Linked DNA regions of Elephas maximus indicus. The protein of the gene in region 3 interacts with the protein of the main gene of each other region in a biochemical or structural test. Links are inferred from orthologs where the notes say so. Each region holds a gene or a part of one and is shown on either strand. Other genes may lie near its edges.

Region 1 (7,949 bases), on a different chromosome or scaffold from region 3:
GGTTTCCACTCTCATATTGCAAACAAATGTCCTTATTGTGGTATAATTAATGTCATGTTTTCTCCATGTTTGTACTTTTTGTCGGTGATTTCTCTGTTTAAAATGGCCCCGAAGGGTAGTGCTAAAGTGCTATCTAGTGTTCCTAAGCGCAAGAAGACTGTGATGTACCCTATGGAGAAACCATATGCTGTTATAAAAAAAAAAAAAACTGTTATAGGTGGTCACTAATTCCGTGTTCACAGTAATTTCATAGAACAGAGTTACCGTGAATAACAAGGATTGCTTGTACTTTATATATTAAGTTGAGCTATATAAAATTGCCTATATCTAACCATTTCTATCTATGAAATGGTACTTTCAAATAGTTCAGCCTAAGTACATTCTCTCTCTTCAACTTTATCATTTTATCATGACGTGGGTACTCTCATCACACCCATTTACAGATCAGAAGACTGAGGCTTTAATTTCAAAATAAAAAGTTCCTTCTCATAAATATTACGTTATTGCTTTTTCTGGGGAATGCACAGTGCACTTCTTTGTGCAAATCGGTGGCCCTAAACAATGGGAGATAATTAGGACATGAATCTGTAATAACTCATTTATCTTAACTTTCTCAGTGACCTTGGAGAAATTTCTAACCAATAAATTTCTATACTATTTAAAGAAATGCTTTTAAAATAGTTATTTAGGTATATAAACTGTAGGCATTAGAAAACAAAAAACTTGATTTTTGTTTTCATGTATTTTCTATATCCTATACGGAAACTTTAGGGATTTTAGCCCAGGGCTCGCCCATGCACAGAATGAATTATGCTGTAACTTTTCATAATGCTCAAATGAAGCACAGTGATTTCACAACATCGTCTAAAGAAAAATTATAACCAACAAAATTCTGAATCAAGACCACTCGGCTTGTGATTATTTACGAATACTACTGCACTGAACTCTCTGCTTAGGAACTGTTATCAGTATCAGGACTAACAAGTGAGATGGTGCTATGTGGAGTCAGGAAAAAAAAAAATTGGCAAAAACTGTAACGTGGACTTTGAAAAGAGAATATTTAAAGGCCGGTGATAACTCTTTCAATATGGAACAAGAACCTTAGATGTCCCACTCACAATAAGAAAAATATTGACTGATGCCATGTGATTTATCAGCTCTGTATGTTGACTCTCTGAAGTTCAAAACTTGGCTACTGGCCCTATGTTCCTTTAGTCAACAAATATTTATTGAGCACCTATCAAAGGGGCCTTCTACATAATCAGTAATCACCATATGTTTTCTGACTGACCGGTATTGTTATCAGTTAGAGTCTGCTGAATTGCTTCTCGTTTTGTGAAAAGGAGATGAGCAAGTCTTATCCCCTCTTAAAAAAAAAGAAAAAAAAAAAAAAAGGCAGTATTATTTCACCTACTGCATAAAAGGGTCAATCACCCACAGGCTGCATATAACTGTCCAGCCTTATTCAGGACTCCATTCACTGAATGCTTCAAAGCCTGACTCTCAAAAGACCCCATCCTCCTGCCTGCACTTACTAAGTCAGATCCCAACAAGGACTCAGAGCAGCTTTGTCCACACCTGACCATTAAGCACCTAATGTTATTTCTCCTTCAGTAAAATAAAGGTGACAACCCCTTTCCTACCACCCTAATAATGGAAAAAGTACAGTGATATAGTAAGAAATCAAACATGTATTGATGAATTGCTCAGAAGTACTAAACAAGTGCCTCTTCATTGAATAAAAGAAATTTTTAAAGAAGGAAGGGACCTTTCTTTTTAAAGAAAGAAAGAACAAGAGACTCTTGCTCAGGCTCAATCATCCAGTGAGAAGTGGTTTGGTCTCCAGATCACTTGCCCAGTGCTTTTTCTACCAAACTACATTGTTATGATTATTCATGTTGCTCCTGTAATTGCTGACGTTTCAGAATGTGAGAGTATCTTCAGATATACAAAAAGATTGACTTAGCTAAGCAGCGATTACCTTATGGATAAGAGCCGCTGGTCCTCACCACAGGTCACTTTTTGCTTGGTAATACTAGTTTCCTGGGAAGTTTTCCAAGGGCTTAAGGGGTTTACCATTGTGCCATGCAAATTTTGGGCAACACCGTATTCAATTAAATGCTCAGGGAATATTATTCCAAGATGTCAGGCGACTGGTGACCGTTGACACAAATGGGTTGAATTAAAGAAAATACTGATTTTATCTACCACAGTTTGAATTCTGGCTCCACCACCTGACTAGCTGTCAAATCCGTGGGCAAATTACTCAAGGGCTCTGAGCCTCTGGACCCATCATGTAACCATTCCTGGTACCAGTTGCCTTCACTGTAAAATAAGGAAACTGGGCAATATCATCTGTCAGCTTCCATCAGATGTTAATATTTTATTAAGCAATGTCCCATAACACGTAGCATATTTCAAATGAAGTTCAAGTTATATCTAATCAAAACATTTGCTATGTATAATATTATCATAATTTTAAAATTAAGCTTAACCCTTGCGGGAAAAAGAAGCTGATGGCTATTCAACTCACAGCTCTATGATTTTTAGAACTGAAACCACCATGTACAGCTACCTCACCTCTTGACAAGCATGTCTGTGTCCCCCGTTTTCTATTTTATTCCATATAAATCACCCCAGTACAAATATAAAATACTATTCAAAGAAAGACAAAACAAAGTGCTCACATACCCCATGGCGGTCCTCAAAGTATGCCAGGCTGGTTTTGGTTAAAACAAAGAAGCGAACTTTAAAGTTCGAGGGAGAAGTTCTTCTCTTCTGTTGGGATTTCTTGATGAGCTGTTCTTCCAGGAGGATAAAGTTGTTCATGATCCAATTCTTGAAAAGTGATGTGCCTTGGGCATCACCCCTTAGCACAACCAGAGGAAAGAGCTTCTGGGCAAGGAATGCGACGGGGAGGCCGTTGATCTTCAGAGAGTTGTTCAAAGGCAACTTGCCTCCAACGTTATCTTTCTATCAAGGTTCAGTCAGCATTGCAGAGCTTCCCCCTGATGTCAAAGACTAAAACCACATCCTTTCAAAATTCACAAAAGAGGTATATGTGAAAAAAAAAAATTACACCCTTTGCTACATGGTTTGGAAATGGTATTTGAAGAACCTTAGACTCAAATGATATTAAGGACTAGAATTTAATCTTTAGTCCATCTAACAGCACAAGGGGTAGGAATATGGGCTCTGGAATCAATTAGGCCTACCCAAGTTGACATACATTTTTGAGGAACACAATTCAATCCATAACACTAGTCATATATCTTGCCTTATGGTTAGTATGTAAGTTGAAACATAGTATGTGAACCCTACTTCCAGCAAGAAGTAAAGAACCAAGAAATCTTAGTGTAAGCAGAGATGGTATGTACTGGACAGGGATAAATAATAAAACAGAAGACTCATTACTGCCATATAGGAGTTCAAATCTCTAAATTTTATTTTTAAAAATATAAATTACTAGACTAGAGCCTAATTTTGTATCATATATTGAATGCCCCGGCATAATCAAAACACTCTGGGAGAAGTTAAGGAGGAGAGTATTGTAAATGATGCCCCTAACCTTGTTCTAAGATTTTAGGATATTATATGTGGAAATACATTGTCCAATAGAGGTTGTATTTTGTTTGTTTTTTCTGGTACAAGAATTGCTATTTCTCCCAAACATGTGCTCTCTCCTTCTTCCTGCGTAACTGATTCTGACATCTGGCTAGCCAGAATAAAGACAACATTTCCCAGCCTCCCTTGTAGTTTGTGTAGTCATGTGATTGTGCTCTGGCCAATGGGACACAGTGGAAGTGGTGAGCATGACATCCAGGAAATGTCCCTTAGTGGGAGACTTTGCACCCTTTTCCCTCCTTTCTGCTGACCAGATTGTGGATGTGATGGCTGGATCTGGAGCAGGTATCTTGCAGCATGAGGTGGAAATTGCATGCAATAGAGCACAAGATTGAAACACCCTAAGGTCCTCATGACCATGGACCCTCCATGCAAGGCCCGGATAGCCTTTTTTAGCTTAAACAAAAATAACTTCTAATTTTTAAGCTTCTGTTATTTTGAAGTTTCTGTCACTAGCAGCAAAACTCATTCTAACTAATACAGTGCTACCTTCCCCAACTAAACTATAAACTCCTTTGGGGAGGGTAGATTTATTCCTGGTTGTTTCAGATTAAAAGATTTACAGACATCATACAAGTGTTCTCATCTGAAAAAGCAAAATATTGTCAGTAGCTGTGGTAATAGTTGGGAGTTTTTCATTTGCCAAGCCTCCGTAAAATACAATCAAGAATTCATCTTATCCTCTCTCTTATAGTATCTTCGAACTCACTCAGAGAAGTTAGGTTTTGCTCGCTCAAATGAATAATTTCTTTGATAAGGATCAGCACAAAGCTAGTTCCTATAAGGCAGAGGTTTAAGATGTCCCAGATGTCCAGCTTTTCCAAGCTGCTGTACCACTCCATCATCTCTAACATCAACCACTCCCTCTCCCCTCAGCACTCCCCCTCCTGCCACCATAAAGCCATTCCAGCATGACTTCCATGAGCGGCACACCAGGCGCTTCCTCTGGAGTGTTCCATTGGGTATTTAGAGGGGGAGGGGGCAGTTTCTTTTCTCGGAATAAACAAATCTCACTGCAAATTTTATCCAGTCCATCAGGCTGGCTGTCTCCTCTGGGGTAACCTGCTGTGTAAATGCATCTAGTATCGCCATTTGTGAATGTTCCATAGTAAGTTGTGGCTCTTGTATCAACCCAAACACATTCTTCCATTCTGCAGCATTCAAAACTAAAGACATTGCTCCTAAATGAGCCACTTTCCCAATTCATTTAGTAATGCCGATCTACAAATTGAAGCAACTCCTTTACACTATACCCTCTTAGTTTTGTCCGTTTCCTCACAGACTACCTTCCTGATGAATAATGGTCATAGAAGAACTGTTGTTCCAATCTGATTTTTCCTTCCTTGGTTGGCCCTGAGACTAGCGGTCTTAGCTCTGACTGAACTGAATCTGGGCTTGGTTCAATGCTAAAATCAGGCCCTACATTCTTTTTCCCTGCCATTATAGCTATTACTGATAACAGAACCAAGGAATCTTATGTTTGGCCCTTCCTTTGTCGTTGTTAGGTGCCGTTGAATCAGTTCCAACTCATAGCAACTTTCTGTACTATAGAATAAAACACTGCTTGGTCCTGCACCATCCTCACAATCCTTTTTGTGCTTGAGCCCATTGTCGCAGCCACTGTGTCAGTCCATCTTGTTGAGGGTGTTCCTCTTTTTCCCTGACGCTCTACTTTACCAAGTATGATGTCCTTCTCCAGAGACTGATCCCTTCTGATAACATGTTCAAAGTATGTAAGATGTAGTCTCACCATCTTTGTTTCTAAGAAGCATTCTGGTTGTGCTTCTTCACAGACAGATTTGTTCATTCTTTTGGCAGTCCATGGTATATTCAATATTCTTCAGCAACACCACAATTCAAAGGCATCAATTCTTTGGTCTTCCTTATTCATTGTCCAGCTTTCACATGCATATGATGTGATTGAAAATACCATGGCTTGGGTCAGGCGCACCTTAGTCATCAGGGTGACATCTTTGCTTTTCAACACTTTAAAGAGGTGCTTTGCAGCAGATTTGCTCAACGCAATGCGCCTTTTGATTTCTTGATTGCTTCTACCGTGGTGCTGATTGTGGGTCCAAGTAAAATGAAATCCTTGACAACTCCAATCTTATCTCTGTTTATCATGATGTTGCTTGTTGGTCCAGTTGTGAGGATTTTTGTTTTCTTTATGTTGAGATGTAGTCCATAGTGAAGGCTGTGGTCTTTGATCTTCATCAGTAATTGCTTCAAGTCTTCTTCATTTTCAGCAAGCAAGGCTGTGCCATCTGCATATCACAAGTTGTTAATGAGTTTTCCTCCAGTCCTGTTGCCCCTTTCTTCCTCGTACAGTCTAGCTTCTCAGATTATCTGCTCAGCATATAGATTAAATAGGTATGGTGAAAGGATACAACCCTGATGCACACATTTCCTGACTTTAAACCATGCAGTATCCCCTTGTTCTGTCCAAACAACTGCCTATTGATCTATGTACAGGTTTTTTACAAGCACAATTAAGTGTTCTGGAATTCCCATTCTTCACGATGTTATCCATAATTTGTTATGATCCACACAGTCGAATGCCTTTGCATAGTCAATAAAACACAGATAAACATCTTTCTGGTATTCTGTGCTTTCAGCCAGGATCCATGTGACATCAGCAATGATGTCCCTGGTTGCACGTCCTCTTCTGAATCTGGCCTGAATTTCTGGCAGTTCCCTGTCGATATACTGCTGCAGCTGTTTTTGAATGATCATCAACAAAATTTTACTTGCCTGTGATATTAATGATATTGTTTGATAATTTCCACATTCGGTTGGGTCACCTTTCTTGGGAATAAGCATAAATATGGATCTCTTCTAGTCAGCTGGCCAGGTAGCTGTCTTCCAAATTTCTTGGCATAGATGAGTGAGCACTTTCAGCACTGCATCCATTTGTTGAAACATCTTAATTGATATTCCATCAGTTCCTGAAGCCTTGTTTTTCACCAATGCCTTCAGTGGAGCTTGGACCTCTTCCTTCAGTACTGTTGGTTCCTGATCGTATGCTACCTCTTGAAATGGTTGAACGTCAACCAATTCTTTTTGGTATAGTGACTCTGTGTATTCCTTCCATCTTCTTATCACTCTGCATTTCCATATGCATCCAAATAACCAGTTCCTCAAGAGTTAGATTCACCCTTCCTAAATCCCATGACTAGCTTTTGCCTTGGGTAACTGATTACAACATACTTAAATCCACCGGTGTTTTTTCATTCCATCCCTAAACCAAAAGTTTCTCATTCTTCCGTTTTTCATCTTCTCTCTGCTCTGGAATTGGCTCTTTTTTAAGGCAAAACCAACCAATCCCCCTAGTGGGCCACAATTATCTTATTTGCACATCCCTGCCCAATCACCTGGGTGGGAGTTATAAGACCATGCCAAGAAAGACCATACTAAATAATTTATCACACTGCACCACTCCTAAATGAAACCTTGTTGTTGTGTGCCTTTGAGTTGATTTCGACTCATACTGACCCTATAGGACACAGTAGAACTGTCCCATAGGATTTCCTAGGCTGAAATCTTTATGGGAGCAGATTGTCAGGTCTCTTCTCCCACGGACTGGCTGGTGGGTTCGAACCGACGACCTTTCAGTTAGCAGCTGAGTGCTTAACCATTGCACTACCAAACTCAAACCTAACCCATTGCTGTCGAGTTGATTCCGACTCATAGTGACCCTATTGGACAGGGTAGAACTGTCCCATAGGATTTTCAAGGCTGTAATTTTATAGAAGCAGACTGCGGCATCTTTCTTCTGCAGATCAGCTGATGGGTTTGAACCACCAAACTTTTGCTTAGCAGCTGAGTGCTTAGCCACTGTACCACCAGGGTTTCTTCATTGCAGCACCAGGGCTCCTTAAATATACCAAAAAATCAAAACCAAACCCAGTGCCATTGAGTCGATTTCAACTCATAGCGACCCTATAGGACAGGGTAGAACTGCCCTGTAGAGTTTCCAAGGAGCGCCTGGTGGATTTGAACTGTCAACCTTTTGGTTAGCAGCCATAGCGTTTAACTATTACGCCACCAGGGTTTCCCCTTAAATATAGCCTTAAAAAAAAAAGAAACCTGTTGCCATTGAGTCGATTCTGACTCATAGTGACCCTATAGGACAGAGTAGAACTGACCCATAGAGTTTCCGAGGGGAGCCTGGTGGATTTGAACTGCCGACCTTTTGGTTAGCAGCTGTAACTCTTAACCACCATGTCACCAGGGTTTCCAAATACAACCTTAGGTAGGTCCAATATTTTCCCCATTACTTTCAGTAAAACATAAACATATGTTTTGTTCTGGCTTTAAAAATTTAG
Region 2 (7,792 bases), on a different chromosome or scaffold from region 3:
GTGCTTTTCTTGAGTTAATCACATCCAGTCACCACCATCCCGAGCAACCAGGGTACAGAGGTTGGTAATCCTGTACTCGGTGGATGGCACGACACAAAGATAATCAAGTTTTTAACTTTCATGCTTCACAGCTTCATAAAGATTCAAGACACTTCTACCTTCTCTCTCATTAGGGCTGTGAACCATTTTTTTGTTCTTAGAAACTGGAGGCTTTTTGGTATAGTTCTCTCTTTGCTATTAGCACTAGCTGAGTGACCTTGAGAAGCCTACCGTAACTCTCTGGGTTTCTTTACCAGGAAAATAAAGAGGCTGAACTATACGATCTTTAAGGGCCTTTCAACTTTAAAATTCTGTTTCCATTGTCAGACTTCTGACTCAGTAGCTTTTATTTTCTATTTTTTTGGAAATAGTAATTCAACTTGTCCCCCCCTTAAAAAGCTTTATGAAACCACAGTCATAATCCATCCACCCTAGGGGCGGGTCCATGAAGCAAAGCAAGCAGGCAATCCCAACTAGCCAGGTGAGTTCCATGTTGAAAACAAAGCGCTGGCAATTTGGGTCTTATACTGACTGCACTCACAGTGTGTGTTCCAACTTGATCTTCACTCAGGACAAAGGCTGCCGGCAGAGTCGGCCTCTATAGGAAGTAGGCCTCAAAATAATAGCTTTATAGCATACTAAAGGTCTTCTGCAGCCATGCTGACTGCAGTCACAGGAACTGGCTTGACAGCGACATAAATTTCACCCATTAATGGGGCTGAACAGGCACACCAAAAGGTATACACAATTACGTCCACTCCAGCTAATTACAGCCTTGTGGAGTAATTTTCAGAAATAAATATACAACTAATTCCTTGTAAACGTAAATTGCTGAATGTACGTCTCGCTGTTGGGCACAACAGTTTTATCAGTATCTGTGGGCAAAAAAGTGCCCAAAACTGAAGGTGGGACATTCAGGTCTTTCGTCTGAAATACTGATTTATAAAGCATTTTGAACTTTATGTGAGTTTTTAAAATCTTCAAAATAATTTACCAGTTTTTCACTGCACAGACAGTATTAACAATTACCCTTTGTCTAAGTATATTTATTTTTCAAAAACTTATTCTGAAAAATTTCAAATTTATAGAAAATTACAAGAGTGGCACATTTAATTACAATTTTTTTAAATTAACAGACTCATTCCAAATTTATATTTTCAAATTTTCATGCTCTTAAGGGTTGAGAAGTATAAATCCTTGCATGTATGTAAACAAGGAATATTGTGGTATTCACAGAGTATTAAGCCACTGCCCTGGAGTTGATTCTGATTCATAGCGACCCTACAGGACAGAGTAGAACAGCATCATAGGGTTTCCAAGGCTGTAAATATTTACGGAAGCAGACTGCCCCTCTTTCTCCACTGGATCCGCTGCTGGGTTGGAACTGCAGACTTTTCCGTTGGCAGCTGAGCGCTTAAACCACTGCGCCACCAGGGCTCCTTACCAAATTATTACTATTTAGTTATATTTGTGTATTGGAAACAAATCCTAAACATTTTAATAGCATAACAAGTAAGGGAATGTATGCCGTTAAAAAAAAAAAATCATTGGCTGTCTCTCCAGCGTGAGGCAATGTTTTAAGGCGAGGGACAACTAGGAGCGACATTCTCAGGGCTTTGGGTAGAAACTGCCTTAAGAGTATACTGTTTTTAAGAAGTCAAACTAGAACACATTCTTATTGAAAACAACTCCACACGATAAAACAATTTCAATTTCAAAAACAGAAAAAAAAAACTTGTGTATTTACACCAGCCTCCTGAGTCACTCTGTCCCCGAGACGAGAGAGTAAAGTCAGGAGACCCCCTCAGCCAAATTGTGGGCCTTAAAGAAGCAAAGTCCTCAAGACCACCGCCCGAGTGTGCGAGCGGCCCCTCGGTCCCCCGGCTGAGGATCTGGGGACAGAAGCCGGGCGGGCAGAGGCGCCTGCGGCGGGGCCTGACGGACGGGGCCTCGGTGCACCAGGCCCCAGGCCAGCTCCCCCCTCCCCCCGCCCCGCCTCGCGACTCGACCCAGTGGACGGGCCCGGGCCACCCCCGTCCCCCAAAACTAAATGCGGCGCGGTGGGGACTGTCGCCTCCGGGGCCTCGCCCTCGCCCCGACGCCTGTCAAGGGCGTATCCGGAGGGGCCTCCCTAAGCGCGGCAGGACGAGCTCGAGGGGCCGGGCGACCCCGGGGAGGACAGGGAGGGCTGTCACCCCGAGGGCTGTGCGTCCGCCGAGGTGGCCTCCACCGACCTCCCGGCCTGGGCACAGGCAGAGGCTCAGCCCCGGCGCTGCGGCCCCGCCTGTCATCGAGGTGGGGCCGCCGGCCAGGGAGGGGACGCGGGCCCAGCTCACCTTGGGACCCTCGGGGGGCACGCGCGGGTCGTTCCACGTCGTGGTGCGGCTGTTGTGGTCCACGAAGAAGGGCCAGCCGGTCTGCGGGTCGATCTTGATCTCCCAGCCCGGGGGCAGGGGGTCGCGGTCGCCGGCGCCGTTGCCGGACGCCATCTGCACCATGGGCGAGTGGGTGGCTGCGCTCATGCTTGTCGGGGTCGGCCCGGAGGGCGGCCGCCGGGGTGCCGGAGAGCGGGGTCTCGGGGTGCTGGGGTGCCGGGTCACGGGGTGCCGGAGTGCGCGGTGCCGGGTCACGGGGTGCCAGAGAACTGGGTGCCGGGTCGCGGGGTGCGGGCTCGCGCGGTGCCGGGCCTCCAGGCGCCGAAATGCTGGGCCGCCGCCGCGGGGACCTCTCCGCCGCCGGAGCCTGAGTCCTGCGCCGCCGACGTGTCCGGGAGGCCGGCGCCGGGCACCTTTATGAATTAAAGGAGGGGGTGACGTGGCCGGAGAGGGGTGGAAGTGTCTGGAAATAGCCTCCTTGCTGCCAAAGGGGACGGAGAAGATAAAGGGAGGCAGCAACTGGCCGGCTAGAAACTTCTGGTCCCATCCAGAGAAGTTGGCGGCGGCCTGGCTTGGATGCGGAGCTCCGCCCTGAGTCATCGGCTATAATCGTGGCGCGCGGGGCGGGGCCAGGCCGGACTCCCCTCCCCCACCCCTCCCCGAGAGGGCCGCGGGGCGCACCCAGGCCGTGCGAGCCCCCAGGGCGTTGCCTGGGGTCCCCGGGCGGGTTTCGGGTTTCAGACTCGCTCCTTCCCCTGCGCGTCGCGTGGGTGTCCCCGGACTGGGAGTCCGCGCGCCGTGCGGCTGCTGCCCCTTCTTTTCATAAAAACAAAGTCATCGTTAGCCTTTAAAGTCGTTTTGAGCTGGAGATGTTACGGTCCTTCCGCCCCCCCTCCGCCACCGACACACCGGTATTTGGGAACAGGGGCGTCGCTCAGTTACGTTTTAATCACTTTCTTTCATGGAGCTTGAGGGCTGTTTGGGGAGGGGGTGGTCTGGAACGTTGATTGGACACTGAACAAAGCCGGGCAGAAGATGGAGCCGCAGTGGGAACTCACCTGCCTGCCTTCTGAAACCTAAAGAAGGAAAAAAGATTGCTCCAGCCGATGGTTTTATTCTCCTCGAACGTCATATCTCAAATACAGAAACTTTAATTGCGGTGAATAACTTTAAAGATCACATTCTTTTGGGTTTTGATCGTTATTTATGGTAGAGGTTCTTGCTAGGAGAGTGAAAGGTGAAATCTTAAAGCTTGACCTTCATTTGGAAAGTAGAGACCAAAACGTACAATTAAAATTTTCTGTTTGGTTGATTCAATGGTGGTTGCACTTGTAACTTCAACAGAACGCCCTGGCTCCCCTGGGAGGTCTGCGTCCCACAGAGAGAATGTTAAGGAGGTTCCAATTTAGACCTCTAGGCATGTCGACTCAATGCCTTCCCAGAAAGTTTGAGAAGCTGCCTTGGAATAATGTTAGGCCCAGTTTCCAACTCAAATTCAGAGAATAGGTCTGTAGCCCTCAGAAACACCTCTTGTTTCTTCCTGCCCTCAAATGACCCCTAAGGAGGCCTGCCAATCATTTCCAAAGGAATGATACCCACTTTAAAAAGTATACTTATCGGCTTTGAATGGGAAAAAAAAAAAAACTCATTTTCCTGAAAACAGAAAGGTGATTAGACCCCAGACACTGACTCAGGTAACCAAACACACAAGAGACTGATGTATAAACCCCAATGGCAGTGCATTAATTTACCAAAAGAAAATTACTGTTGAAGAAACTGGGCCCTCAAGTTGACCTGTCAGTGTCTTATGCTTTCTTGCATCCGATGTCCTGAACACAGGACACCGCCCAGAGCCCATATTCAATAAATGTTTATGTTCATTGAAAATCAAACTCAAAGTGAATTTGTATTTCTATTTTCTTCATTTGTTCAATTTACTTTCCACTACAACTACAGTTTAAGCACTGAGAGCATTCTTCACTGGCCTTTTTTTTTTTTTTTTTTTGATAGAAGCAGAGAGGAAGGAGGTTCCTCTGGGAATAACATAGCTGCTTCTGAGGACTGTACTCCACCAAACCAAACACCAAACCCATTGCCATTCAGTCGAATTCCAACTCATAGTCGGATCCTGTAGGACAGAGTAGAACTGCCCCGTAGGGTTTCCAAGGCTTTAAATCTTTGGGGAAGCAGATTGCCACATCTTTCTCTCACAGAGTGGCTGTTGGGTTCAAACTGCTGACCTTTCCATTAGCAGCCAAACGCTTAACCACTGCACCATCGGGCCTCCTTTGTAGTCCTCCAGGGATTTCAAATAGGTTTGTCTAAAGCAGAGCCCTGAGTCTTGGAGAGCTGATTGGAAGAAGCCCCTCTGAGCCATGCTGAATAATGAGTAGCATGTCTGTCTTATTACAGATTCCTCATGATAAGAAAAGACTTTGTCTTTGTCCAGAAGCAGGTGATTTAGCTCAGTGGAGGCCTTAGAACCAAATGAACAAAAAACTAGCAATAAGAACAAGACTCAGGTGTTAATCCTCTGAGTTTTGGGCAGTGAACTTGACTTGTGCTCAGACTTTCCCGTCAGCCTTAGCCACTTTTCATAGGCCAGAAGGGTGTAGCCAGATGACCATAGATCCCTTCTACAAATGAGGATTTCTGCTCTCCATCCAGTCTCTCCTCGAAGAGCGAATCACAGTACCTCCCAGCCACGGTGCTTTCAATAAATATAAATTTTACAGAAAGAGACTTGGGAAGAGTTGTCTAAGCTTGCTGCCTGGAGCCATCTCAGTGATTACTTATCAAATCAACTAACTCAAAATCTTGACTGTTTAGAATTTCTCTACTTTTTGTGAGAAAAACAGCCCCATACCACCAGTCTGAGGTCGCTGCCCTTCCCTCTGCCTTAACAGCCTGTTGAACAGTTCGGAATTAATTACCTTGACGTCTTCTGCTGGACTGTGAGCTCCTTGAGACAGGAGTTGGCTTTCATTCATCCCGATATCAGCACCTAGTCCATTGTCTGACATATTGAATAAAGATGCTTCATAAATCCTCGTTGAGTGAATGGGATAGTGAGCTGATACGTGTGAATAATTCAAAAACCACGCCTAGTGTATGCCTTGAGGTCAGTCTTAATTTAATTCACCTATACATTTTTTTTATACATCTTTTTTTTTATCTTTACATCTATAGAGCCACACCCATTCCAGCTCCTCCCATTCCTTTTGCCTGGCTGACTTCTCTTCATTTTCAGGTATCGTCTTCAACATCACTCACCTCCGCCTTCCTAGTCTAGGTCATGTGTCCCTTCTAAGTGCTCCCATATAAATCCTTTGCCACCCTATCAATTACACCACATGGAAATTGCTTATTGGATCATCTGATGTGCTCATGGATCAAGTTTTCTGGAAGGCGGGAGCGGAATCTTGATCACCACTGTATCCCCAGCATCTAGCACAACGCTAACAGTTGTAATGGCTACCATTTATTGAGCGCTTACTGTAATCCAGGTACTGTGTGTTAAGGACTTTATGTTAGTTGTTTCATTTCATCTTTGAGGTGGAGGCTGGGATGAGCTGCCCAGATCCCCTTCCAGGAATAAGGGTCTTATTCCCTACCTGCCAAGAACAATACAGGAAGACCTCTCTCAGCTGTTAGTCCCCTTTGAGAATTGGCTCAGCTGGAGAAAATTGCCTTTTCCAAGGTCATACCTCCTTCCAGGGGCAACCCGCATCCAATGACTGATCTGTTGTTGTGGTTACTTGCGGTCGAGTCAGCTCCAACTCACAGGACCTTGTGTATAACAGCCCGGTCCTGCACTAGCCTCATGATCTGTTGGTATTTTTTAGTCCACTGTTGCAGCTATTGTGTAGTGCCTTCCAACCTGGCGGGCTCATCTTCCAGCATTATATCAAACGATATTCTGCTGTGATCCATAAGGTTTCCATTAGCTCATTTTTGGAAGTAGATCGCCAGGCCTTTCTTCCTTGTCTTAGTCTGGAAGTGCCACTGAAACCTGTCCACCATGGGTGACCCTGCTGGTATTTGAAATACTAGTGACACAGCTTCCGGCATCACAGCAGCACACAAGCCATAGCAGTATGGCAAGCTGACAAACTGATGGTGGAATGACTGATCTACCAAGGGGTATAAAAAGCCCCGACCCTTTGTCCCAACTAAGGATAGTTCTGAAAGGCAATCCCAGCTCCAGGGCTGGCTGATGGCTTTCCTTGGGATTACATCACAGCTCAACTCCTCCCTCTGCCCAATCCTGCTTCCTGCCCTCCGCACTCCCTAATAAGCAACCTGCTTGCTACCTTGTCTTGGCGTTTGCTTCCTGGGGAACCAAACATAGGACAGTTCTCTCAACAACCTTACGATGTAGGCGTTATTATGATTCTCCTTTTATAGGTGAAGAAACTAAGGTTTGGAGAAGTGAAGTAACCTGCTCCAAGTCACACAGCCAGGCACTCAATAAATATGATACGTGACCTGATTGTTTAGTCCTGTTCATCACCAAGGGAAACAAATTAAAAACTGTAATTCAAAAATCCAGGTTCGTGCACATATTTTTCTCAATGCTGAAGAAACAAGGGCAGCAACAGGCCCTGCCATGGAGGATTACAGATCAATCCTGTGAACAGGGTTTAAGAGACTGGCGGAGTCCCAGCACAGGTCGCAGACCGGGCCTCCAGCCCACCTACAATGGTGAGTTTTAAATGAAAATGTCACCCGAAAGCTTTCATTCAGTGTCTGGATGAAAATCTGGATGATTTAATCCATCTCCCGTGGAACACATGAGCTGGCAGAGCAGAACAGCCAGTTCTCCTCAATCTGAGCGAAAGCACCATTCACCCCAAGCTGAACCTGAAAGTCATTTTTGCATGTCTTTGGGGTGTTATCAGGGACCAGCCCATGCTGCCAAGCATACTTTCCAGGTGGACCCTTCTACTCTGGGCAGCCTGGACAAGGGGAGGCCAGGGCCAACTGGATGTGAGCAATGGCCTCTCTAGAATGTTCTGATGGTCAAGTGCATTGGGAGAGAAGTGATGTCTGCTCTGATTATGCTATGGAGACTTCGATGATAACCCTAAATACACCCTGTCAAAAAAACCAAAAACCAAACCCACTGCTGTCGAGTCGATTCCGACTCATAGGGACTCTATAGGACAGAGTAGAACTGCCCCGTAGAGTTTCCAAGGAGCGCCTGGTGGATTCCAACTATAGAGGTGAAAAAATCAGAACCTGGCAGAGCAGCAGAGCTTAGGATTTCAGCACTAACTTTGCATCTGTTTGTTATTAAAAGTTAAAGTCTGCGCTCTCTGACCTCACATGGCAGGTACACCCTGTACCAGGCATCTGGGTCTTTAATCATAAACTAT
Region 3 (7,567 bases):
CCACACCCCTGCTTTCTGTTTGGGCCCCAATTTACAAACAAGAAAGTCACACCCAGTAGTCAGATGTGCAAAACTCCAAATACTTTCCTACAGAAACACTGTTCTTTGTAGTAGGTGAGTGGGTGGGTGGGTTGGGGCAAAACAAAGTCATTTCCTCCGTTTTTCAGGGTAGCGATTTAGGGGAAATGTGAACTTGGTCCCCCATCCTCCCTTCCTGCACCCTCAGGCTCTCTTGCATCCATACTCTACCTCCCAGAACCTGGGAGGACAGTGTAGACTATTATTGTTATTGTTATTAGTAACAACTCACATTTACTACAGTTACAATGTGTCAGGCACTGTGCTAGATGTTTTAAATCAATTATCTCATTTAATTCCAGAGAAACCATATACGATGGACATATTGCTATCTCCCTTTTTACAGATGAGGAAACTAAGGCTCAGAGAAGGTAACTGGCAGGGGAACGCAAAACTAGCTTTGAGCTTCAAACCGGGCATTGCAATCACTCTGCTACATTTAACTGCCCGCTGGTCACTCGTATGGTTTAAAATGCAGCCTGTTACCCAGGAGATCTCTACCTGGGAACCTCCAGCCAGTGCCACCAATTCAACACAGCACAGGGAACATCACAGAAGCATGGAGTCTGATGCCTGAGGGATGTTCCCAGGGCTATCCCTGTTCTTTGCTGTGTCTGTCCTTCCTCCACTTTGGAATCTAGTCTTCCAAATCATTAAAAAAAAAAAAAAAAAAAAAGAGTTCCCAATGGCTGACAGGGCAGATGGAGGCATAAGGGAAGAGGCCACCACTTCTTAGTTCAAACGGCTATGTCAGATCTGGAGTTTTTAGTTGAGGTTGGCTCCGTCACCACACTTTCCTTCCTCCCAATCTCCTAAAACATCTAAACGCATGTACACCATACTCAGAAGATCTATCAGGGCCTCCCTTGGGGGTGTCACTTCCTGACCCCTTCCTCCACCCGGACTTAGTTTTGAGCCCCGATCTCTCCAACAACAGCCTCTGGGGGGTCCTGGCAGGAAGCAACCCACGGTCTACAGTTGTAGACACATCATCTCTTCACACTTGGAGGCGGGGGAATGGAGGGCTGAGCTGAGTGTGCACGGGCACCCGTTAAGTGGGGTAACACTCTGAAAGATGTGGGGTTTCTCGAAATCCCCCACCTCCCTCCTCTCACCAGAGACCTGATGAAAAGGAGCCAAGCCCAGGTTTAAGGATGGCAAAGAGGCAGGAAACCAAGAGTAGCCCTTCCCCGTTCCCTGCTTCCACCGGACACAGGATGAGTGACACAAAGGGCTAGTTCCCAACCTGGCTGAGCACTACTGAGATGAGTACCTGACACCACTGCACTCAGGGAACGTGCTCCCAAGGGCAAGGGAAACTGGCCCCTTTACCAAAAGTCTGTGTCCTGGCAGTGGGTTCTACTGACCCACACAAGCCTCCAAAACTCAGCTTCAGGACAAAAGAACCAGCAGAAAAGAGCGGCCACGGACTTCTCTCAGGCGTTTTCAAACCAAACAAGACCACCTTCCTCCCTCTTCCCAAGAGGGTGATGAGTAGGCCTGGCTCTGCCCCCCAACCAGGCCGACCCCAACATCTGCAGAAGTTCTACTTAAGGAACCCCACGGTGCCTCTTTCAAACAAGAGCCCAGCCAGAGGGCCCAGAGAGTTTCCTAAAGCCCGCTCTTTCTGGAGAGAGTGGTGGGCGGTGACCGTCTGCTCGGGTCCCAGGTTTTCCGCGGGGTGGGGGACGCCGCCTTGCCGCCCCTCGCTGCGCCAACACCGCCCCCCTGGGCTGGGGGGCCCGCTGCCTGCGCCGCTGGGCTGCGACTCGCTAGGATTTTTAGGCCTCCGGGCAAAGAGCCTGGAACACTCCCCCCAGCTGGGGGAGGGGGTGTCCTGTCAGGTGACCGAGGCCCGGATGCCCCCCGCCCCCGGTGACCACCGGAGACGCGGCGGGGGCGGGGGCGGGGCGGGGGCTGGAGGAAGGCCCGAAAGTTTGCCCGAGTCCCGCGAGCTGCGTCGGGGCGCGCGGGGCCGGGCCGGACCTGGCCACCCCGCGCGCGCCGGGCCGGGGAGGGGGCGCACTTACTGGCCCCCTCGATCTTGTCCGCGCCGCGGCTCCACGTGATCTGCCGCGTCTCCAGCTTGACCTGGAAAGTCTTCCGCTCCGGCCGCTGCGACTTCTTGGAGTAGAACAAAGTCATGACGGTGCCCACCTCGAGGCTGCGGCAGAGGTGCAGCACCTCGGCGTCCGAGGGCGCGCCGGGCCCGCAGCCATTGGCGCAGGGGGACGCGACGCCGGCCATGGCTCCGGCTCTGGGGGCGGCGGCGGCGGCGGCGCAGGCCCGGCGGCCCGGAGCCGGAGGTGGCGGCGGCCGAGGCGGCTGAGGCGGCCGGCGAGCGGGACCCGAGGCTCCTGCGGGCGGAGACGGGGGCGGGGCCGGAGGCGGGGCGGGGCCTGAGGCGGGGCGGGGCGGCTCGTGCAGGCCCCGCCCCGCCCGCGCGCCGGGAACAAAGGCGCCCGCGCGCCCGTGGGGAGGACCCCCGCCCGCCGCGCCTGCGCCCCGCGACCCCCGGGCAGGCCCCAGGCGGGGGCGGGGCTCGAGGGCCGCGGGGGCGCGCGCCGCCCCCCGTCAGTCCGCCGGCTCCTCGGCCCCGCAGAGCGCCCCGCGCGGCGCCGGACACAGCCTGCCCGCCGCGGCCGGCCCCGGCACGCTGGCGGCCCCGCCCACAGGCTGCAGGCCCCGCGCCGGCCGTCAGTCGCACCCGCGCGGGAGGCCGCCCAGCCCGCTGTCCCGCACAGGCCCAACCGCAGCCCTTTCCTCAGCCCCGCGCCCCACCCCCGCGCCCCAAGCACCGCCCGCGCGACGCCGCGTTAGAGCTGTGGGGATGTCGAGCGCCCCCCGGCCCGCCCGGCCTAGCCCAGTTACCTGGGCGGGCTGCCCGGCGGAGGGAGCCAGGCCAAGCCGGGCCGCCTTACACCCGCGGCGGCGGCGGCGGCGGCGGCGGCGGCGGCGGCGGCGACGGCGGCGGAGGCGGGTTCTCCGCGCGCCCTCCCGGGGGGGCGGGGCGGAGCCGCCTGCAGATTGGCCGGCAGGCACTGATGGACAGCAGGCATGTCCCGCCCCCTCCCCTCTGTCCGCGCGGGGCTGGTCCGCAGGCCGCTGTTAAGACCGGCAGTCCCACATCTGTCCCGCCCCTGCGGCCAGTGTGGCGCTCAAGGGTACCCCCATTTGGACAAGTCCCCCGGGCCTAGCATCCCCGGCAGGGCCTGTGGTCCCGCGGCCGCACTGTCCAGAGGCCTGCGTCTGTCCCTCAACGACTACAGCTCGTCCTACCCCCCGCTCCGTCCCAGCGGGACAGGTCCCCGGTCAGAGTCAGGGCGAGGGCCCAGGTCCTGCCTGAGCTCTGGCCTTCCCGCCGGACTCTACTCGTTTTCCACCTCCCTCTCTAGCTGCTCCCTGTTGGCCTCAGAAGCTTCTCTTTCTGTAGGCTCAAGTCTGAGTCAGTTCCCAAGGTACCTGACTTTTCCCAGGGCTCCAACCACCACCCAGACACCGTGACATCAAATCTGTATCTCTGCTGCTCTCCAGGGCCAAGCATCCCACTGCCTGCCCCACATCTCTCAACACAGGCACCTCACCTTCCAAATTGCTCTTCCACAGTGGTCACTTTCTCAGAAAATGGCAGTAAACTCTTCTGAGTTGCTTTGGCCAAAACCTTGGTGACATCCTTGATCCCTCCTTCTGTGTCAACCCCACATCAATCCATCAGCAAGTCCTGTTCGCTCTTCCCTCAGATTTCTCTCCACTCCACCCACAAGCCCAAGCCACCATCTTTCTCTCCTATTTTACCCATTGATCTTGCATGCTTCTACTCTTGCCCTCTGCCTCTATTCTCCATAGATTAATCTTTAAGTTATATCATCCTCCTCTATATCTGACCTAAAACCCCTGGATTTCCCATTGGACTTAAAATCCACACCCCCTACTTGGCCTGGAATGTCTCCTATGATCTGTCCCCACTTTGTCTCACCGTCCCTTTTCACTCTCCATTCTCCAGCCACAGTGCTTTTTGTGATTATTTGAAGAACTCACACTGTCTTCCTAAAGCTGTTCCCGAGACCACCACCTCCTTCTCTGCACTTTAGCTGCCACTGTCACAGAATGCCACCAGAACTGAGGACACATACGGTCACAGTAGAGTCTCTCATACAGATATTGAGCGAGGCAGATGGTCAGCAGCCGGGCAGAGCAGGTCAACTTACTGCACTTCAGAGTGTGAGGCCCAGCATACACAGCTGATGCCAGAGAGAGATCCAGGTTACCTGGAATTTGTGAGACTATAAACCTATACTGCAATTTGTGAGTATGTGAGGTTGTGTGCTCAGGCAATCCACAGTCGTACTCCAATAGCTGAGCTGGGTAGGTCTGGGCTGCCAGGTCTTGCAGAAACAGTAACTCTTTTGCAGTAGTGTGTGTTTAATTCCCTCGAGCACGGCCACTAAGAAGCTCAGAATTCCAGCATGAAGTTGGGAAGCTTTGTCCTAATAGGTTCACCTAGCTTCAGCACCTAAGGGGAGATGCGGCAGCTGAGATGGACTGCCACCTAGCTATGGGCCTTTAAAGTGGAAGGCAGGGAACTAAAGCTGACCCAGTGCCTTGCACATGTGGTCACACCTAATCTCACAACTACCCTCTAACTGGGGACTTTTGTCCCCATTTTACTGATAAGGAGACTGAGAGAAGGTCTGCAATTTGCCCAGAGAAAACCATGTAACAAGTGGGGTACTTTGCATTTGAACCCAAGTTTGCCTGATTCCATGCGTTTTCTGCCTCCCAAGAGAGCCATTGGCTTAATTAGGCCCTGGTGGTTAGTAGTCAGTGGGCATGGAGGCTAGCTGGCTAATCAGTGTGGGTAAGGAGGCATGCCCACACCGGCCTTAAGCACAGGGTACCCCACAGAACATGGGTGCTCACAGAGTATGGCTTGGCTTGCTTGGTCTTAATGAGGTCCTGCCGACTTGACGGCACTGGGTGGGCCCCTGAATGCAGTCCCTGAGTTTTCCTGTGCCAGGCACTGAGGCCACTAGCTGACGGATGGGGAAGGACTCAACCACAACAGCCCTCCAGGAGTTCAGACATTAAACGAATACTTTATCACATAAGGGCAATATATGAGGGCTACAGAGGAAAAGGACGGGAGACTATGGAATAAAACATTAAAGAGACCTACTTCAGACCAAGTAGATAGGGAAGACCTCTTTAGGACTCAGTGGAAGTCTAAAGGACGTGAGCTGATGGCCCGATGAATTATTAGGGTGTGTTGGGGGAAAGTGTTTTCCAGACAGAGGGAACAGCACGTACAAAGGCCCAGAGGCCAGAAAGAACATGGTGAGTTTAAAAATAGAAAGAAGGCTAGAGTCTAGTGAATGAGGGAGAGTGTCGGGGATGAGGAGACCAGGAAGAAAGGTGGGAGCCAAATGGGGCTCCTCCATGCCTATCCAGTTCTTGTCCATTTTTCCAGGAGGCCCCTGTGCTGACTCGGGCAACCTGTGGGCTGTTATGTGCCGTTGAGTTGGTTCCAACTCATAGAGACTCTGTAGGACACAGTAGAACTTCCCCATAGGGTTTCCAAGGAGCGGCTGGTGGATTGGAACTGCTGACCTTTTGGTCAGCAGCCGAGCTCTTAACCACTACACCACCAGGGTTCTTGTGGGCTGTGATATGCCTTAAATATCTGGTTCTCTATTTTCTGGGAGCTTCCCAAACGTGAAACCCAGGCTTCCCTGCTCTTGCTTTCGCCTCTGGAGTTTGGCCCATGGGGGCTCCACAAATCTCTGCCAACAGATCATGTTTTCGATCTGCTGCCAGGGCCCCATTTCATTTCCTCCTGGGACTTCTGGGCCAGCACCCCAGGACTCAGCTGCCTCCCTCCACCAAAGGAGGTTCTGGAAAAGCAGGGCGCAGCGCAGAGGGCGTGGCCGGTATGGGCTTCTCCCAGCTCAGCATATATATATGGGTGCGTGGGTGTTACTGGCAGTATATGCAGTTGTGCCTGCTGGGAGGGAACAGCCCCAGCACCCACACAGGCACACGGCTCTGACATCACCAGGCTAGACCTGCTTGGTCCTATTTCTGTGAACACTCATGCTTCAACATGCCCTGCCTACACCAATGTCTGTGTCCGGAGTCTGGGGAGGAGTCCTAGCCCAGCTGCCCTTCTGTCTTGTGAACTTGGCCTCACAGGTATTTGTTTTACTTAACACTCCGAATAGTACTTGATGCAAAGCAAGCACCACATAACTGCATTACTCACATTGGTTTATTTACTCCTCATTACAACCCTTTAAATACTAATGTCCCCGTGTCACAAACGAGAAAACACAGAGGCACAGAGAGGTTAAGAGACATGCCCAAGGTCACACAGCTAATAATTCAAAGCCAGGCACTCTGGCTCTAGTCAATGCTATGTTGCCTCCCATGTAATATGGACATTTTATTGTATCCTCCTTTCTTTCCCTAACACTACCTGATCTGTTTTCTATTTATAGTTTTGTTAAATGCTGCTGCAGGTTGAGTTCTTCTAGAAGCTGGCTCTATGACAGAGGTTAGTGTGCCAAATGTTTATTAAAGAGTGCCCTTGGGATCAACACTGTGGAAGGGAGAGGAAGGAAACAGGAGTGGGCAGAGGGAGAAATTAAGCTGTAACGTAAGTCTGACAACAGTGAGCCAACCCCACAGGGAGCCTTTATTGTTGTAGTTGTCGAGTTGATTCCAACTCATGTAGCTCAGCCTCAGTCACTGGATGTGGACTATCCTGGGAAAAGCACAACCTTGGCAAGACAGCTCTCTGCAGCTGAGGTGATCTTAGAGGAGCTAACAGCTAAAGGTTATCTGCTGACAGCTTTCCCAGCAGTTGGGGCAACAAGTCCTTGCTTGAACAGCGATCTGGGTGGTACATTGCTATGCCCACCACAAATGTATTATTTTCTAGCCCTTTAAAAGTTGAGCATTTAAAAGAAAGGACAAAAATACTACAGTACAGAAATTGGATATGAGATCGTAAGAAGGAAGAAGATAACCATATAGGTTAACATGACTACTGTGAGAATCAGATGTGGCTTGAGCTTCCTGGCAGCCAAGGCAAAAAGTTTTCTCTTCCTTGGGGGAGAAAAATTTTCCTGCGGTTAAGTTATAAAACCAGTTTCTCGAATGGACATTTATTTGGTTGAACTAGTGGAGAATGTTTTCAACAGATAAACAGCAAACACTAAAGAGTCTTCATTTGTCTGTTCCTTGTAATGACTTTGGGAGGGAATAATACGAAAGAAATGCTCAGTGAAGCTCCTTCCGCAATCTAGGGTATGCAGATTTATAGACTTGCAGTGTCTAATCTGATCCTTTGAACTCTTTAATTTTTACTCAGCAGTTTCATGTTAGATGCCTCACTTGCTTCTCCCTGCGTTTGTCAGCCTGCACCTTACTCAGCACACAGCCAGTGTACTCACCTCAATCCACCTTGAGCTCCACCCTACAACCTGTGGTC
Region 4 (7,830 bases), on a different chromosome or scaffold from region 3:
TCTCTGGTCACTGAAAGGAAGAGAGATGACCCAGGCTTGGGGGTAATTAGCTAGACCCAGGCACATCCCACGGGACCCTGCTACTTAGCTTTTAAACTAGCCTCAGAGAGGAAACTGGGATATTGGCCCAGGGGGGGAAATGGCTACTTTCTGCTAAACCTTCTCAAGGCTAAGGTTCTACAATTTAAACAGTATTCCAAAAAAAGCACGGGTCCGGAGGTGCACAGGGCATAGCACATCTGGGAGGGAAACAGTCACCTTAATTACCATGTCTAGAGAAAGTGCGATTTCATTACAGCCTCCAAAACTACCGCCCAAAGAAGGAAACCAGAGAAGTGTTTTCAATTTGAAAGAGACTGCAAGGGAGAGGGCGAGAGAGACCAATTCTTCCCACCTTCTCTCAAGTTTGGACCAGAAGGTGCTTTCCTGCCTCAAAGGCTATTACAAAAGGACAACTCAACAATCCAACCCCGGCTTTCAAACCTGTAGCCTGTAGCCGTAGCCGTTATTTATTTAAATGGTCAAGTGCCCCACTTTCGTTTCCGGGGGCTGCAGCCCAAATAACTCCTTGAAAACACACAGGGAGCGCCTCTGGCAGCAGCAGTCCCACCGCCTTCGCACGCCCCCACCCTCGGCCACTGGACACTGAGTGCAAAAGGGACGTGTGACTGCCATCGCTGGGGCAGCCCCAGACCGGCTTCTCGGAGGGACCGCGGGCTCCGGACAGGGGCAGACAGTTTCGCAGCTCCAGCGATAACTGAAGGAAGCAGACAGCAATGCTTTGGTTCCAGAAACTTCCATCAGGGCCAATCTTGGGTCAGACCCACGGCCAAAGAGGCCTTCTCTGGCAGATGAACCATTCGTAAGTGCCACCCCCCAAAACCTTGGCCCCATCTCCCACGACGTCTCTTTTTTCTACACAATCTAGAAAGCATCCCAACCATCACCAACGGCTGAAACTAAAGAACGTGGGATCCAAGACAACTTTCTTTTCTCCCCGAATCCCACCTCATCCTCAAGTCTCTAGAAATTTTAAGGGCGGAGGTGGCAAGAACGTGTTGAAGAGTCCTAATTTTCATTTGGGGGAGGGGAGGAAGAAGGATGGTAATAATGTGGCTTCGGTGTACCCGTGTGGGGTGAAACGGAACCAGATGCGGCTGCTACATCTGGAAAACGGAAAAAGGAAAAAAAAAAAAAGTGTTGCGGGAGAAAGACACCGCAGAACTGTTTTTTGTTTTGTTTTGTTTTGTTTTTAAAGGGCTAATAGCTCTGGGCCCAGAAAGGACATGCCGGTTTCCCTCCCACTCCACCCCATCACCCCAAAAAGAGGTGCCTGGCTGCCTTCTCATGGTGTGTTGTATGAGCCCCACCTAAAACGTCAATAAATTCCTCTGCAAAAAAGGGTTCTAGCCCCCCTTCTCCCCACCCCAAACATAACGTGAGGGGGCAGCGGGGAGCAGAGGGGTCTGGGCCAGAAAAGTCACAGGCATCGCTACAGAGTGAACCTCACAAGAGAAAACCCTCATCCCTTCCCCCACCTCCAAGAACTAGATAGGAAGTAAACGTTCCCCTCTTCCCCCCATATGGGATGTAACATCACCCGCTGGGTGCGCTCCCCTTCCCCAAACTAAGTAGAAGATAACCTCCTCTGGAAAGAGGAATTCCTTCCTCGCCCTTCGCTAAAGCAGATTCAGCCATTTGGTGACGACACCTCCTTAAAACCTATTCGAAGAGAAGCGATCCTGCCCCCTCCCCTTCCTTCCCTCTTCAAGGCCTTACCCACCCACCCCCAACTCCGACCCCAGGCTTTCCCGGAGGAAGAAAAGGACTTAGAAATAGCACAGATTTTTAGCGTTCAGTCCAAGGCTACCTGCTGGATTGGGGTGAGTCACCAGGAAGGGACCAAAATGAGATGGAGTGGAATGCAACGCACGCACACACACTCACGCACACACACACACACACCCCACCTCGCTGCCCACTCCCGCCCTCCTCCCGGGTCGAGCAGCCCCAGGGCCGCCGCAGCCTCGGCCCTGGCCCTGGCCCTCTCCGGACTCACCGCCGCGCCGCCGCCGCCGCCTCGCCAGTTCCAAAGCACAAGTTGGCGGAAAAGTTGAGCAGCAGGAGGAGCGGCGGGACCAGCGCGGGGAGGGGGCGCAGAAGGCGACGCGGGCGGAGGGGGAGACAAAAGAGGGGCGCAGAGCCCAGAGGTGGGGGGGCGGGTAACGAGTGGAGGGAGGCGCCGGACCCGACTGGGCTACAGTGGGGGGAAGCGCGCAGCCAGCAAGCTCCAGCGCCGGGGGCCGCTCGGGACGCCGAGCCCGCCCCGGATCTGGGGGCGCCGTGGCTCTTACCTCACTCGGCGCTGCGGTTCCGCCTCTGGAGAGTCTGCCGTGGCTTGTGCGGGCGGGCGGGTGCCGGCGTCCCCCGCTCCGGCCCGCCGCCCCCGGGCACCGCTCGGATTCTCGCCGGGCCGCAAGAAACCCGCGGCCGGCGCTTGGCTCCCGGTGGCGCTCGGTGCTCGGCGCCTCCAGCCCGGGCGGGAACAATGGAGCCGAAGCTGGTGCCCCGGAGGCGGGGAGGGGGGAGGGCTCCTGTCCGCCGCCCGGGGTCTCCAGACCCTACGCCCCCCCTCCGCCGAACCGGGCGGCGGTGGCTCACGCTTCTTGCAGCCCGGGCTCCATCGCCCTGCGGGGGCCGCGGCGTGCCCGACTGCAGCACTGGTACGGTGCGACCTGCGGAGCGCCCCCTCGGACCGGAGAAAAGTCCTCGGTCTCGGCTGCTTTTCCAGCTGCGGCGCGAGCTCGCCGCTGGGGTAGGCGAGGTCGCCGCAATGCGCTAAGCAGAGTCTCGGTGCTGTCCGGACGTTGCCGCCCCGCTCCGGGCACGGCCCGGGTTCCTCCGGCGCTGCGGCTGGACCGGGGCTCCCACTCTTGCTCGCCGCCGCCGGCTGCCGAGCCCTCCGCACCAGTGCCCGCAGGAGCGCTCCGAGCGCTGTGCGCCGGCGAGGCGCGAGGGCTCTCACACTCCCACACCCCGCTAGTCCCACCTCCTCCTCCGCCCCCTGCAGCTGCCTGCTGGGCCTTGTAGTTCTCAGCCGCAGCCCCGGAGAAGGGGGCAGCGGGACTGAGCTGGCCGGCACTCCTGCCTTCCTTTTCTGAAGTCTGGTCTCCTTTGGCGCCCGCGCCCTTCCAGCCGAGCATGGGGAGTAAGGCGCCCGTATTTCAGGCCATGGGCAGACTGGCAGTTTGGGGAGTGAGGTGGTTTGACGGGATAACCCTGAAGTTGTCCCTGACAGCATAGGTTTTGGAGTCTGAATGTGTGACTTGGGGAAATGATTTACTCACTCTAACTCTCGATTTTCCCATCTGTAAAAGGGGAAATAATAACAGTACTTTACATATAGAGCTGAGCATTAAATGAGATGTAGGTTTTGAGCTAGGAATCCTGGTGATACAGTGGTTACGCGCTCAGTTGCTAACTGAAAGGTCGGCGCTTGGAACCCACCAGCCGCTCCGCGCAGGGTGCTTCTGTAAAGCCGAGAAAACCCTACGGGACAGTTCTACTCAGTCCTATAGGGCCACTCCAAGTCAGAATCAACTTGATGGCAACGGGTTTGGTTTTAGGTTTAGAGCCTAGGACATAGCTATGTGCACATAGTTAACACTCAATAAATACAAAACTTTTTCTTTTTTTAATTCATGTGAAGGTCAATCCCCGCCTTCCCTTCAATCTCACTTTCCCCAATCACTTCCCTTCGGTTTTGTGGCCCACGGGAAGTTGGCCCTGTAAACTCTACAGCGCCATTCTTGGGCCTGCTGGGAATGTTAGAAAGCAAAAAATGAGTGTTGTTTTGGAAATTAATCAGAGCTCACCCATGCCGCACCCTGCATTGCTGTAAGGAACCCCAGAAAAGGTGGCTAAAACGTTCTTTCCCTTGGGTTCTGCAACAGAGTGATACAATCTGCTGTGTGCCCTCAAGTCGCTTCCAACTCATAGTGACCCTATAGGATGGAGTAGAACCGCCCTATAGGGTTTCCAAAGCTATAATCTTTTACAGAAGCAGACTGCCACATCTTTCTCCTGCGGAGCTGCTGGTGAGTTCAAACTGTCGACCTTTTGGTTAGCAGCCGAGCGCTTAACCAATTCTGCCACCAGGACTCCTTTGGTATTATCTAGTAGTTGCCTAATCCAAATGTACATGAGTTCTCTGAGGAACTTTTAAAAATATAAATTTTTGGACCTACTCAGAGGCTCCAAGGAGTCAGGAATCTGTATTTTTTTCTGAGGCTCCCATGGTGCCTGTGATGTGAGGCCAGGTTGGGGGCCACTGGGAGGGTGGAAGGTAGGCCTTATTGGGTATGAAGGAGACCTGATTTCAGGTCCTCCACTTGTGAACTATTTGAGCTTGGGCAAGTCAGCTGTCTGAAAAAAATGAGACAGAGGTATCTGTCGGGACTCCTTCACAAGGTTGTCACGAAATCAAATAAAATAATGACAGTCAGGGCACCCAAAGTGTTAACACAAATAGAAATAACTACGTAAGTTAATGGCAGGGCCTGTTCTCTCACCTCCACTCCACCCCAATCCACAAGGTCATTAAAGGTTCGGATATAGAGCGAGATTGGGCTTCCCAAACAAAGGAATGAGTCCCTAGGTTATTTCTCCATTTGACCAGCAGGTGAAAGAATAGTGACCAACACAACATCATCTACATAGTAAAAAAAAAAAAAAATTAGGCACTCAATAAATGTGTACTGACTGACCGAAGAGTAAATATTCAGTACATATTTGTTAAATAAATGAATAAATCAAAAACTAAATGGCAGGAAAGCACCTATTGGTGGAATAAATGGACTTCAGCCATTGTTTACAGGTTTTTCACCCCTTCATCCCTTCAGCCCTCCAGCTCCTGGACAGGTTACATTTACTTTTCCATATAAGCTGTCCACCCATTAGTCCTTCGGCTTTTAAAATAATGCTCATCCATCTGTAAGAAGGCCAAACTCACACTCCTCTCCACTCAGAGACACCTCCTTTGCCGTTCCCAGCCCCATTCAATCCTTGGCACTCCTACTGACCTTCCGGTATAACCCACTCATTTGATACTTAAAATAGCCTTTGTTAGTTGTCTTTTTTTTTTTTTACTCTGTGTTCTGTCTAGCTAGCTTCTGAACTGTTCTAGAGCAAGGATCCCTTTTATGTATCAAGTCTAGCTTAGGAGTCTGTACTCAGGAGACTTTTTATACATATTTGTTGTTGATGGACTTGATGAGGGTAACAAATCTGGGTTAGCACAAGAGGAAATACAATTTGAGGGAATATGATCGAGAAGATAAGTCATGGAAAATCCAGAATTTAATATTAACACACAACTACTATTTTCCCACTTTATCCCTGAAAGAGAGAGTATCATCCTTCCTCCTTATGATTCTTTTAAAACAAACAAACAAAAAAAAGCTCATGAGATTTTAAATCGAGCTCTTTTTTTTTTTTCTTTCATTTTAATTTGGAAGCGTTTGGGGAGTGCTTTGAACCCAAAAGAGGAGGCTGAAGAATGAGTCCTGGATTTAAACAGAATGATCTAGATGTCTTGTCTGATTGGTGTTGAGGCACATAGGCCTGCCGCCCAACAAATTCCTCTACAGTTTTAGCAAGAAACCAAAATGAAGCAAGTAGCCAACTTGATAGCTCTCTCTCCCCGAGTTTTTAGGGGAACAGTCAGATACGGCTGGAAGGAATGGAGGTGAAGAATCCAGAAACTAATGGAGGGATACACTGACCGCAGACAGGGCTCCTGAATAATTGAGAGCTGACTGCTTTTATCATTCTGGTCCCGCTCCTCATCCGTGCCACTCCCCTCCTTCTCTTTCTGAAATGCAGACCCTGCACTTCAGTCCCAGGAAGAAAGGCCCCGGGCCAGTGGAGGAGAGCATCCCCAGGGCCGCTTGAACCGCCCCAGGCAGCACGGGTCAGACGGCAGCTCTGCCCGCCTGTCCTGCACTGAGGGTTCCTGGCACCTTGCCTCCCCACACAGAAATGTAATCTTCCCTCTGAGATAACAAAGAGCTGGGAGGGTCAGGGAGGATTTGTAGGCCCCTTGCCCTGCCAGCTAGATGTCTGAGGGGGAGACAAAAGGCCCTCATGCTCGAGGACCTGATAACCAGTTGGGGGCCTGTTGCCTCCCGGATCTGAGGCGGGAGGGGAATGGTGCTGAATGAAACCAAGGGAAAGAGAGCTCTCCCCAAAGCCTGTTCAGTTCTCTTTGTTTGGGAACACTTGCAGAAAATCCCTCCCGTCTTCTTCAGGCTACTTGTGTCCTCGAAGTTCTTCCACCGAGAGGTAGTTCTCCTCTCTCGCCATACTCCCACTGTCCCAATGCACCCCTGCTCCGAATTTGGTTATTTCATTAGGCTCCAGCAGCCCCCATCAGGGACGAGCACCCTACTACACCGGGTAGGTACTGCAGAGTGAAGACCTCACCACTAAGGAGGTGGGGGGAGGCCAGGGACATCTGTACTGGGCGAGGTTGGGCCATGGTTCTGCTCTAGCCCAAGGCTAGAGGTTCCTTAGACAGGTTGGCAACTGGCAGGCTCAGCTCTGAGAGCGGGTTGCAGAAGGGGATTCAGGAGGAGGGGACTGTCTGTGTTTTCCCTAAGAAGTGGATCATTCACAGGTCCCTGGGAGCAGGTGGGCGGCAAAGGCTTTTGCCCCAGGCCCCTGGAGTTAGGGAGCAGCCGTCAGTTACCATCTGGCCACCATTTGGTGACCCCTGGCTGTTCCTAGCACAGCTTCAGCATGTCAGGGAAGGGAGGGTCTTGTTTGGCTTGGTGTTTTTGTAAATAACATTTCACTCTCTCCTACCAACTGGGAGCGGGAAGCGGAGCCAGCAACAGCAGCAGTTCAGCTTGTCTGATCCTAATGGTACATTTACTCACCAAGCATGGGGAGGGGGAACACTTGTTGTGTGTCAGGCACTGTGCTGGGCACAATAGATCCAAACATGTAAGAGACAAGGGCACCATCTCAAGGAGGTCTTGTTGGAGAAACCAAATGTTATAGGTAGTGCCACCCAGATGCACGTGCAGGGTTTTCTGGGAGGAGAGGTCAGGAGGCCTGGTGGAAAAGGAGATGGCTCAGGGAAGTGGTGTCTGAATCCTAAAGGATGACAAATGATGTGAAAATCTACAAACTCATCTTGGGTAACTGAGGAAGGCAAGACTAGAGAGGAGTCCCTGGGTGGTGCAAACACTTAACATGCTCTGCTGCTAACCAAAAGGTTGGAGGTTCAAGTCCAGCCAGAGGCTCCTTGGAAGAAAGTTCTACTGTGACACACATGGGGTCGTCATGAGTTGAAATCAACTGGAAGGCAACTGACTTTAAGACTAGAGAGTACGTGTGGAGGGATTGAAGCTTCTGAGTTGTCTTCCTCTGAAAGGATGAACTTGGTCTCTGGAGTCAAACAGATTCTGGGTATCAATTCTGATTCTGCTTCTTCATACTGACTATGTGATCTATGGCAAGTTACTTAACTCCTCTCAGTTTCCTGGATGGTGAAACGAGGATAACAATAGTTCTGAATTAAAGTTCTGAATTAATCAAAGAATTAAATGAGATAATGCATGTAACACACTTGGCACAGTGACTGGCACATAGATTTTAAGTGCTCAATAAGTGGTAGCCAGTTGTTATTTTTTAGCCCAAGAACGTTGCTTTGGCCCGAGAGACCTCGTCTGGAACCTATTTTCCAGTTGTCTTTGTGGTTTTACTATCCATTCACTCCCTTGGATTCTTTGTCCCCAGAAGCCTGTGACAGAAAAGGGTGTATTT

Evidence for each region.
Region 1: the proteins of PLCG1 (region 3) and ITK form a complex in vitro, tested with the Homo sapiens proteins (2 studies listed by BioGRID, with this or other methods). The link is inferred for Elephas maximus indicus from reciprocal best matches to the Homo sapiens genes PLCG1 and ITK.
Region 2: the proteins of PLCG1 (region 3) and BAG3 form a complex in vitro, tested with the Homo sapiens proteins (2 studies listed by BioGRID). The link is inferred for Elephas maximus indicus from reciprocal best matches to the Homo sapiens genes PLCG1 and BAG3.
Region 4: the proteins of PLCG1 (region 3) and FGFR1 form a complex in vitro, tested with the Homo sapiens proteins (4 studies listed by BioGRID and IntAct, with this or other methods). The link is inferred for Elephas maximus indicus from reciprocal best matches to the Homo sapiens genes PLCG1 and FGFR1.

Annotation. Positions count from the first base shown.
Region 1 is NC_064820.1:173,658,414-173,666,362, reverse strand, and holds the start of ITK (tyrosine-protein kinase ITK/TSK), read right to left. Parts: upstream 3,001-7,949; 5' UTR 2,830-3,000; coding exon 2,692-2,829; intron 1-2,691. UniProt on the Homo sapiens protein: Tyrosine kinase that plays an essential role in regulation of the adaptive immune response. Regulates the development, function and differentiation of conventional T-cells and nonconventional NKT-cells.
Region 2 is NC_064834.1:70,242,032-70,249,823, reverse strand, and holds the start of BAG3 (BAG family molecular chaperone regulator 3), read right to left. Parts: upstream 3,004-7,792; 5' UTR 2,562-3,003; coding exon 2,376-2,561; intron 1-2,375. UniProt on the Homo sapiens protein: Co-chaperone and adapter protein that connects different classes of molecular chaperones including heat shock proteins 70 (HSP70s), e.g. HSPA1A/HSP70 or HSPA8/HSC70, and small heat shock proteins (sHSPs), e.g. HSPB8.
Region 3 is NC_064843.1:28,313,587-28,321,153, forward strand, and holds the start of PLCG1 (1-phosphatidylinositol 4,5-bisphosphate phosphodiesterase gamma-1), read right to left. Parts: upstream 3,010-7,567; 5' UTR 2,950-3,009; intron 2,436-2,949; 5' UTR 2,326-2,435; coding exon 2,109-2,325; intron 1-2,108. UniProt on the Homo sapiens protein: Mediates the production of the second messenger molecules diacylglycerol (DAG) and inositol 1,4,5-trisphosphate (IP3). Plays an important role in the regulation of intracellular signaling cascades.
Region 4 is NC_064840.1:62,286,756-62,294,585, reverse strand, and holds the start of FGFR1 (fibroblast growth factor receptor 1), read right to left. Parts: upstream 3,012-7,830; 5' UTR 2,355-3,011; intron 2,348-2,354; exon of another isoform or gene 2,060-2,347; intron 1-2,059. UniProt on the Homo sapiens protein: Tyrosine-protein kinase that acts as a cell-surface receptor for fibroblast growth factors and plays an essential role in the regulation of embryonic development, cell proliferation, differentiation and migration.